Linked DNA regions of Arabidopsis thaliana. The protein of the gene in region 1 interacts with the protein of each later gene in a biochemical or structural test. Each region holds a gene or a part of one and is shown on either strand. Other genes may lie near its edges.

The links. Proteins that work in one complex are often made in the same cells at the same time.
Region 2: the proteins of FD (region 1) and FT form a complex in vitro, tested with the Arabidopsis thaliana proteins (one study listed by BioGRID).

What each region holds. Positions count from the first base shown.
Region 1 is NC_003075.7:17,002,478-17,007,272, reverse strand, and holds FD (Basic-leucine zipper (bZIP) transcription factor family protein), read right to left. Parts: upstream 2,752-4,795; 5' UTR 2,528-2,751; coding exon 1,820-2,527; coding exon of another isoform or gene 1,793-1,819; exon of another isoform or gene 1,685-1,792; coding exon 1,607-1,684; intron 1,393-1,606; coding exon 1,321-1,392; 3' UTR 965-1,320; downstream 1-964. UniProt on the Arabidopsis thaliana protein: Transcription factor required for the transition to flowering promoted by FT.
Region 2 is NC_003070.9:24,329,114-24,334,887, reverse strand, and holds FT (PEBP (phosphatidylethanolamine-binding protein) family protein), read right to left. Parts: upstream 3,516-5,774; 5' UTR 3,511-3,515; coding exon 3,178-3,510; intron 2,363-3,177; coding exon 2,301-2,362; intron 1,588-2,300; coding exon 1,547-1,587; intron 1,423-1,546; coding exon 1,199-1,422; 3' UTR 889-1,198; downstream 1-888. UniProt on the Arabidopsis thaliana protein: Component of the mobile flower-promoting signal (floral stimulus or florigen). Promotes the transition from vegetative growth to flowering. Required for 'SEPALLATA3' (SEP3) and 'FRUITFULL' (FUL) accumulation in mature rosette leaves.

The DNA of each region.
Region 1 (4,795 bases):
TTTGCACCCAAAAAGAAATAAAATGGTCAGAGTGAAGGTATCAGCTTGTATCTGCAGCAACTTATCAATGGTTCGTTCTGTCCTCTGTACTAGTTACCTGATCATCTCTTCTAAACTCTCTTTTAGGCTTGTGGCCAAGTTCTGGTAGCATTTTTAAGTATGAATGTTTGATGGGAAACATTGATGTAACCAATTGAAAAACATTATAGGTGTGTAGTTTCAGGTGAATAAACCAACTTTTTCGTTTAAAGTTTCTTGAAGTCTAGGATTCTTATTGACTGGAATGAAAGTAGAAGCATGATTTAAAGTATTGGATGCCTATTTGAGGGGCTCTAAGTGTAACCATATAATGTGAGGATAGATTCTAGTCATAGTCCCACTTTTGGTAACTATTCTTCTTTATCTTAATGTCCACTATATTTACACCATATTAGCTCTTGATGTCCACTTTTGGTTGCTTAAAAGAATACACAGCAATATATCAACAACCAAAAGTGGATCAACAAGACTTATCACTGTCAGGTAAATGAAATTGGGCCAAAAGAAGATAAAAACTATTCTCTTGATAAACCAAATGAATACAAACACACCTAGTGTTTTTGATGGTGACCAGTTAGAGCAAAAGCTACAATACTATGTACTATGAATATAAATAAAACGTGGGGAGTGACCATGCTGAATAAGAAACTTATCATGTTCTCTCTTGACCAACCCGAAAAGTGGTGAACTTAATTCCCATTGGCTTGGAGGTTTCAAAATCATATTGCAAGTTGTTGGCTTGTATGGTAGACAGCCAAAGGATTGGATATTTATGTGATAATGTGATAGGGAGAAAATTAAATGTTCAGTGATAGGTCCCCTTCTCACTTTTCTCTGGTATTGTCATCATTTAAGTGGAGCACTGTTTTGTCTATTGGTCATTTGATCCTTTGCTTCTTTTAAGAACCAAATTGGTTAAACAGTAAAACATAAGGTTTTTTTTCTTACTAGTATTAGAAGAGGAAGTAGAACATTACTACAACAAGAATACAAGTAGAAGTTAGTACAGAAGTGAAAAAAGGGTTTGCATAGGAAAACGACAGAACATTAAGAGAGGACCCAGGACAGGTGTTCCTGTGCCTTAGGAAATTGAAAGATCCTTTTCTCTTTCCGGGTCTTTTGTTTTACATCTTCTTTTTTCCCCTACAATATCTTAGTTCTACAATTTTAGGCTTAGTTATACTTATAGCTAATAAAAAAGGGTACAAACTTTTGCCATTTTTTCACTTCTTCATGAGACAATCTCAATCCCCAAAAGAGAAACAAGGACTTGTAGATTTCTCAAAATGGAGCTGTGGAAGACCGTTGAAGTGTGTTCTTTTTGGGTTGCTGAATTGCTGCAGCCATTTTTAACTGCACACACACACACACATAATAAACACACAACTGAAGTATCAGAATCTAACCACCCAAAATGTCATTGGACAAAAAAGTGTGTAAAACAAATATACTCCAGAGGCTGTCTGTCTGTCTCTTTTTATAAGTTGGTTAAACTACAAGGAATTGATCTAATGACATGAGTGCTACAAAAGGGTAAAACATTAAGAACTTGGCTCTGCTTGTTTACCTGATCTTGTTGTCTCTTGAGTCTTGCATTTTCTGCCTGCAAGTGAGCAACTTCAAGTTCTAACTCGTTTGTATAAGCCTGCAAATGAGAATCAAAACCAAGAGACCTTTTTTTAGATCAAAAGCAATTTGATGGCAAAACCACATTTCTTTTCTTCCCTTTTTGATACACATGAGTAGAAGAAGATTAGGAGGGAAGAGGAGAGGCACATTCCTGTTTCCTAGCGCGGGAACGAGCTGCAGATTCTCTGTTCTTGATCATACGCTTATGTCTTCTATTCCCTGAACCTTCATTGGAATCTTGGCCTCTTTTCTTACCAAAAGAACTGGATGGAACCAGAGCCTCGAAAGAGGTGTTGAAGGCATGAGCGTTTGAGAGGTGATGGTGGGTATGAAGATTAGAGTTTGAGGTAACAAGAGGATCTTGGTTATCGAGAAACTCGAAGCCAGCGCCGGAATTCAAGCTCAGAACAGTTGCAGGAGGTGGAAAAGGAGAGCTGTAAAGAACAGTGACCGTGGTGGAATCGCCATTAGGCGCAGAACCCGTGGTCTGGCTTGTGGGTGCTGGTTCCTGGTTCAAAGATCCTTTGAGAAAATCTTGGAAGATTGAGTTAGGGTTTTGGTTGTGGTGGTTTTGGCCCCTGAACCTTGGCTCGTGGTTGTGTTGTGGATGAGGGCTGTGTCGGTTTAGGTGGTGGATGGAAGCAAGGTTGATGTCATTCCAAACTTCTTCCATGGTGACAAGAGATCTCTTCTGGGCTTGAGAGTCTTGAGAAGGTAAAGGAGATGATGATGAGGTTGATGATGATGAAGAAGAAGACGATGGTGATGAGGATGAAATGGAAGAAACTTTGGTGAGAGTCTGGTTCTTGTTTGTAGCAGAGAGTCTATGGTTTCTCTGATGCTTAGCTGATGACAACATTGGAAAAGAGAACAGAAGTGAACCAACAACACAGCTTTAGTCTTTGGTTGTCAATTGTCTAGTAGTATCCTACACGCAGAGAGGGAGTAGAGAGAGAAAGTGGTGAGAGCTCAGAGAGAGGTTCTTGACTTTAGCCGGTCATTTCTGGAATGATGGGGTTGGGTCCAAGACTCCAGAAGAAGAGACAGAGGGATTGAACTATTTCCAATTAAATAATATATTTCAAGAAGAAGAAGAGAAATTCCATAAACTATTATATGTAATTAAAGGTGTTTGTTGATGTCTTCAACGTCAGAGTTATTATAAAGATTAAAAATGGTGTTTGATTATTTCAAAAGTGAAGTATTTTTCATCATCCTTAAATGTAAAGAGTGAGTGGGGGTGAGATGCTTGTAAAAAGCCAGGCAAATATATAAAATTATTTTTGGTTTTATCTCACTTTCTATTTTCTAATATCAAATCCCTTTGGATCACTTTCAACTTTCATGTGTGACTTTAATTTTTGTTCTTGCTCTTAGATTTAAGGAAAATTTGCCAAAATACACTTTTTTCCCCTAAGGGTATTGACGAAATAAAACATTAAAAACAAAATGAAAGTAGATAAGAATATATACATCTTTCTGTATTAGAAATAATTAAATAAATTCGTTTAAATATATAATAAAACACAAAATCCTAACTACTATACCAATAAACTCAAATGTAAAAATTTCTTCTGTTTTTTTTTTGTTTTTGGCAGCAAACATTAATTCCGTTAGAATATTTCATTCCTCTTTTCTTGATGTGGTTAATATATTTTAAACGAAGATAGAATAATATTATCGAATATAAAAAGTAGTACTTGGGTGTTCGTATATGTAATTTGTTTCTATCAAAACTAAAAGTCTGAAAATTATATGTTTGATTAGTACAAAAAAACTTTATTTTATATGAGATTCGGAGTGTTTAAGAACGGGTCATTTGCACTTAACGTTTTCTTAAATATGTAGTTGCAAACATTTCAAATAATATCGACCGTATAGTTGAAATGCATTTAAATAACAAAAATATTGTTAACTATTGAATTGTTCCCCACTTCAAATCATTGGTGTTCATGTCATCCAACGAGATTTGATCAAAGTGTCAATAGTCTGTTTTACAATACGGATAGGGAAATCAATTTATGTGGGTCTCCAACTCTGAACAAAACAAACATTACAAGTGGATAGTAAAGTATTAGATTTTATATGACCAATATAGTTTAGATATTTATGTTGATTGTTTTGAAGATTAGAGACGAATACTAAACTAGTTAATAATTAAGCCAAGTAGAAGATGATACATATTAATAAATCTTTGATCATACGTAATAAACAAATAATATGAGTACCATCCAGATATCTAGATATTCGATTATCGTATCTACTATGTAAGTCAGTCTCCAAGTGCATATCTAGTCACGCTTTTCAAATTTTTCCTTTATTGCAAGTTGATTATATATAAACTATAATAACATACGATATTTGTTTTTCTTTCCTCTTCTCTTATTCTATTCAACAAGATTAACTATTCATTTCCGTACATGTATATAATTTTTTTTCTCTGAATGTTGAAATCAGCCCTCAAGGAAACGTCCCATCTTTTGAACATGCAAAGAGTACTACATTAGGAGCTGTTTATCGAAAATGCAAGCTCCTCAAATACTCATATTTGTTAGAAGATATATATTTTCCATTTGTTGGTGAAAAGTACAAAGACTTTAATTTGTTTACATGTTTCCAAACATTGGGTTTCAAAATACATTTTGAGTTTTTAATGTGAAACACAAATTTCATAGATCTTTGTTGTCGTTTCGCAACCACCAAAAATTCGAATGTAAAGAGTAGTACTTTTGTTAGTATCGACGTCACTACGCATATTCATTGACGAAAATAAAACAAATTTTCCCAGTCTCAAATCATTTTTGCAAAATAAACTCAAAATAAAGTTGGGGTATAGTCTGTAACGAGTGAATTCAAATGTCCATTGTATCATAAAATTGTGCAGAGAACTTGTAAGTTGTATAAGAAAGGAGTGTGACATGTCACGTCTCAGGGGATTGGACAGGTGTCAGCACTATATTGCTCTGTCCCAAACTCCATCAAATCTATTTCTCTGTCTTTTAATATCCTCTTTAGTTTACTTTTAAACAATGCATATAAATGGAAACAAATTCTGTTTTAGCAAGTTATATAAAATTTTCCGGACTATCATACAACATGAAATATGCCTACCAAAAGTAGTAAGTGC
Region 2 (5,774 bases), on another chromosome or scaffold:
GACCTTCCTCTGAGTGGATATGTGGAAGTACGCAAAAAATATATCGGTTGAATGCACAGAACCTTAAAATGAAATGGTTCATAGTCAGAGTTATCTTCCAACTGTTAATAAATTTTCACGTGTATCAATAATTTCTTGTATCATATATAATTATGTCACAATTTACTAATCAATAAAAAATGTTAATAAAAGAAAATCAAAGGGGTTCGAGATCGTTTAAATGTCATCGTTGATCAGCTTGGAGGAGAGCGTTTTCATCGAACGATGGCTATCAATGTTCAAGAAAGCATTAGACAGTAAGACCATCTACGTTCATAAAGAGTTTATGGATATTTAAAGTTTAACTACAGAAAGACACTTCCTTTTTTTGGATGTCTAAAGTGTTTTATTTTTAGTTTTAAACTCAAATTTAATTTTAAAATAGAAAATACATTAAATCGAAACTTATACTATTTTAGGCGTTGAATCAGTGATCTAACCATAACTTGACAGCATAACGTCTAGACGGAGCCAATACAACCGCCTAAACCGCTTTTAAATAAAACATAAATGCTTAAGTTGTTCCTCGTATTTATCCCAAATTAAAAAAAAAACGTTTTTCTATCATGGGAACAAGATCTAACGTCGAAGTCCATTAGTAATTAATCTTCAGAATGTATAAATACTTCATATGTTTACCTTTCAAGGATTTAATAATTAAGGTTTGATCCTAGGATTCGATCTTACACATGTGTTTCTTCATACGTGAGCCCATAAACTTAAAACCAAAATATTGCTCTACTTTTCTAGCTTATGTATTGAATGCAAACTCTTTAGTTTGATATATAATGATCGACTTGGATATTATCAGTACTTTAGTAGCAACACAAAAAAGTGTATTATGGAACCCAAAAGTAAAACAGCAGATTCTTCCCACTGCCTGATTTTTGCATCGAAAAGAAATGAATACACGTAAAGTATAAATATAACACTTCATTTCATGTAGATTAATATAATTATCGCATCACACACTATATAAGTAAAACACTCTCATTTTCCTCCCCCTCTCATTTTTATTACACACTTATATATTGAACTACTATAGGCATCATCACCGTTCGTTACTCGTATCATAAAATGGTTATTAAATTAAAATACTATAGATGCATAAATCTCATCAGAGTATGCAATATCAATTGGTTATAAAGGAAGAAGCCATCTAAAGTCTTCTTCCTCCGCAGCCACTCTCCCTCTGACAATTGTAGAAAACTGCGGCCACGGGAAGGCCGAGATTGTAGATCTCAGCAAACTCGCGAGTGTTGAAGTTCTGGCGCCACCCTGGTGCATACACTGTTTGCCTGCCAAGCTGTCGAAACAATATAAACACGACACGATGAATTCCTGCAGTGGGACTTGGATTTTCGTAACACACAATCTCATTGCCTGAAAAATAAAAAGTTCATCAAAACATGTGAATTTTCTAGCTAGTAACTAATTAATTAGGCTATTTCATATACCTTTCTATATTTCTAACACCTAGCGATCTAATATATAGAATAAAACTCACCAAAGGTTGTTCCAGTTGTAGCAGGGATATCAGTCACCAACCTGTAATGAGAGATAGCCATACACATGTTTAAGCTATGGCACCACAACATAATTGAAATGCTACTTCTTTTTTTGACAGAATTGAAATGCTACTTAAACTTTATTTTCTTACAAAAAAATAATAGCAACGTAACTAATTCCTAGATTACTAGTGCAAGTGACTAGCAAAACATGCAATAACATTCAAGTGCATGAATATATAAATAAAAATAAAAAGTGATATAACAGGAAACCTAGTCCTGCTCACTTCAAGGAACAATGATGATGTCATCAGGCTATTTTAAGCTCAATGATATTCCCGTACAAAGACCACTTTAAAGTGAAAAAAACAAATCTTAGTTCAAGTCACGTCCTATACATTCTATAGAATCTATGTGCGATCAGTAAAATACACAGACATACATAATACATATTTACATTACACATAGTAAAGTTTTTGAACAAAATATGTCAATTTAGCTTGGGTGTGGGCTTTTTTGGGAGACAAATTGATGCATCGCACTCTCGAAGTTGATTTTATATGTCTCCTTCTATTAAATGTAAAATGTTTGAGTCTTAAGTTATAAGTGATCTACTCAATTTCAAAGTATCCAAAATACATGTCCAGTTTTACATGTGTAGTTGAGTGTCTATATATATAATTCGAGCAACATGTTTGAGCTATGCTATAACTTAAAAGTGAATTAATTAAAGAGTTGAGTTAGTGCACAAACCAATGGAGATATTCTCGGAGGTGAGGGTTGCTAGGACTTGGAACATCTGGATCCACCATAACCTTCATTAAACAAATAAGACGAAGAATTATAAGAAGATAAGATTATCATTTTCAAAGAAATCAAGAAAGCAAAAGGTCTTTTTTTCTTTTTCTTTTTTGAAGTTTGGAAAATGAGATAACACAAGAAAGAAGAAGAAAACTATGAATAGAAAAAAGGTAGTAGCTACATGTCTATATATAGCAGAGAGTATCTTAAAGGCTGGCTTGAATATCAGAATATCCTTATTCAAACAGTTTTCAAATATTCCACAACAGAGATTCATCAATATATATATTTGTTTTAATGAACATCAATTTTCTATATCTTTTTGCAGATATTTTAATTAGCAAAAAGGATATTTCAAAAATGCCATTTTCAAAGTATAGTAAAAAATTATACTTAAAAAAAAACAAAAAAAAACAAATGCAAATTAAATTATTAGGTAGGAGGAACAAAGAAAAATCCCAAGATTCTTATCCTAAATAATAATCACTTATGCAAGAAGTTGGTGGAAAAAATTTGGGATAGATCATAAATTTATCTCTATTTAATTTAGGATAGGAAGAAATATTTTATGGGTCCATCTTCATGAAAAAAGAAATGAAATATAAATTAGTTTTTGATTTGGGTATCATAAAGTAAAACCAAATAAATCATAAAAAAACAGAGAAAAGGAAAGCGTGGGGCATTTTTAACCAAGGTCTCTGCATGCCCAAGAAATATTTTCAGTATACCCCAAAAAAGGAAAATAATTTCTATTTTAAAAAAGAAGGTGTAAGAAGCACTGAAGAAACTAAAGAAGAAAAGAGACAAAAGGGAGTTCAAGTGAAAGAACCAAAGTATAGAAGTTCCTGAGGTCTTCTCCACCAATCTCAACTCTTGGCTTGTTTTGAACCTGAGAAGGCCTTAGATCCAAGCCATTAGTCACCTCTCTTTGGCCATAAGTAACCTTTAGAGTGATTGATCTATTAAACGGATCAAGAACGTCTCCAACAACTCTGCTTACTATAAGAGGGTCTCTTATATTTATAGACATCTTTGATCTTGAACAAACAGGTGGTTTCTCTGTGTTGATTGTTTCTGTTTTACTTGTTTTTGTTTCTGCTTCTTTAATTTGTATCATAGGCATGAACCCTCTACACATATTTATACTGTTTCGGATTTGCATTAACTCGGGTCGGTGAAATCATAACCACAATCTTTTTCTTGTCTATTGATGTACTAGAATCTAAAACTGATTCTACGTACATCACACATTGTCGTCTTATTTCATATTTTTCTTTCTTTTTATTTCTGTTTGTGGTATTCCAAACCCACCACACTAATACACTGGAAATATTCCAAATTATATCTCCCACTTGGTAGCCACTAATTTTTGATTTATTTCCTTTAACAAGATACCTCTCTCGACTAAATATTATTTACTTTTATACAAAGATATTAATTATGATAATGAGTAATCAGTAGTTTCATATATATTTAGTTTTGCCATATATTAACATAATTTATCATAACAAAGTAAGATTATTAATAAAAATAAGAAAAAAGTAGGGTACCGCCAAGTTTATAGAGAAAAAAAAATTACAGTATCACTTGTTATGTTTTTAAAACTATTATTTAGAGATATAAAGAAAAAAAAAATTCTTAAAAAATTCGAAAGCGAAAACGTTCTAAAAGAAAAAAACTAAAAAAAAAGTTGAGATAGAAATCATAGAAGAAATGATATATTTTATAAAACAGCCTTTTCTTGTAGTTATACCAGGTAGAACAAGGGATCCTTCAGGTTAGATAGAACCAGGACATTTGAGAATAGTCACCTATTTTTCTAGCCGCTTGTGTTATATGGTCGACAAACAAATCTCAAACATGTAGAATGAAGGCAGTTATTTTCATCGTCCATACCTACCAATGTCCGAACTCAAATACGCAAAATTATCTCAAAATGAATTAAGTACAAGATATCTGCAATTAAATAATATAAACCAAATCAATTGTTTTATTTCTCTTCTTTTTTTATAAACAAGCGGCCATATTATGGAAAAGTGAGTTTTATAATTGAGATAGTATCTAGTGTCTTGAAACAATTATATCATACGGTAATCTATCTATACATATAATATTAACTATTAAAAATCTAAAGCAAAATAATGATTACTTTTTAAAATTAGACATTAGTTTGGTTGTAAAAATACTAACCATCCATTTGCACGACCAGGATAATTGGTATATATACTTATGCGTCTATAAATAGGTATGGATTTGCTAATTTGAGAGATTTTCTTTTTGACATTGCATCAACATATATAGATGTAACTACCATTACCACTAATTAGAGCATTTCTTAAGTTCAAAGATGAAACTTATAACCATAGCCTAACAACTGTAGGAATTATTCTTTCTTTTTCTTTTAATTGGTAATTAAATAATTAGCGATAGGTTCTACTGTCCAAACTGGAAAATAAAGGAATTATTCAGTGATGTAGTTTTTTGTAACATCTCAGTAATGTATTCATATTGAACTTTATCTTATCATTTCAGACTTCAGCCACTGTTCTACACGTCCATAGGTTAACTTCATCTTAGGTTGAAATCCAAAATATTTGGTAACCTTCATAGAAATTTCAGATTTGTTTACTAAAAAAGACGTCTACGATCGACCATTGATAATCGAAATCGCAATTAAAAAAAACTCGAAATCTGCTATATGCACTTTTTAACGACTAGCATTTATTTTCTACTAATTTTAGTTACACACAAAAAAATGTATGCATTTTTAAATATTGGACAGGAGAGCTCAGTACTATAAGAATTGTTAGTAAATTTTGTCATTCAATCATGTTAGTGTTCATACGAAACAAAAGATGTGATGTAGAAAAAAATAGGTCGCAGTCGCAGACAAGATTAATTGTTCGCTAAAATGAGATAGATGGATTGTCCGCCACTTGTGTATATCATTTTTCATTTGTTCAGAAAAACAAAAGTGTATCTTTTTGTTTTTTGATTTAATCCGATATATATTCATTTTGTATTTCTTCTTAAAGAGACTTACGTTTGCTTTAAGATAAGTAGTTTGCTTTCTATTTTCAGCAACTTTTTAAGATTTAACTAATTTATTTCTATTATAAAATTTAACGTATCTGCCACTTGTCTTTTACTTATGAATAAAACGTTTATAGTATATCGTAAGATGATATAGTAAGCATTGACATGTAAAGAGAAAATAGAAAAATATATTTTCTTTATCTTTCGAAGATGCATTGTTTAAGAAAATCAGGTAGAACCTTTTAGAGTTTAGAGAACATATTTCAATATCATTGTAACATATTAAGTTGACTCTATATCTATGAAGCCGTGATGTTCCTAAACACTACATGTTTAAAATTATTTTCTTCAAATATGTTTTGTCTTTATCAACTCCACAAATAGCATCTT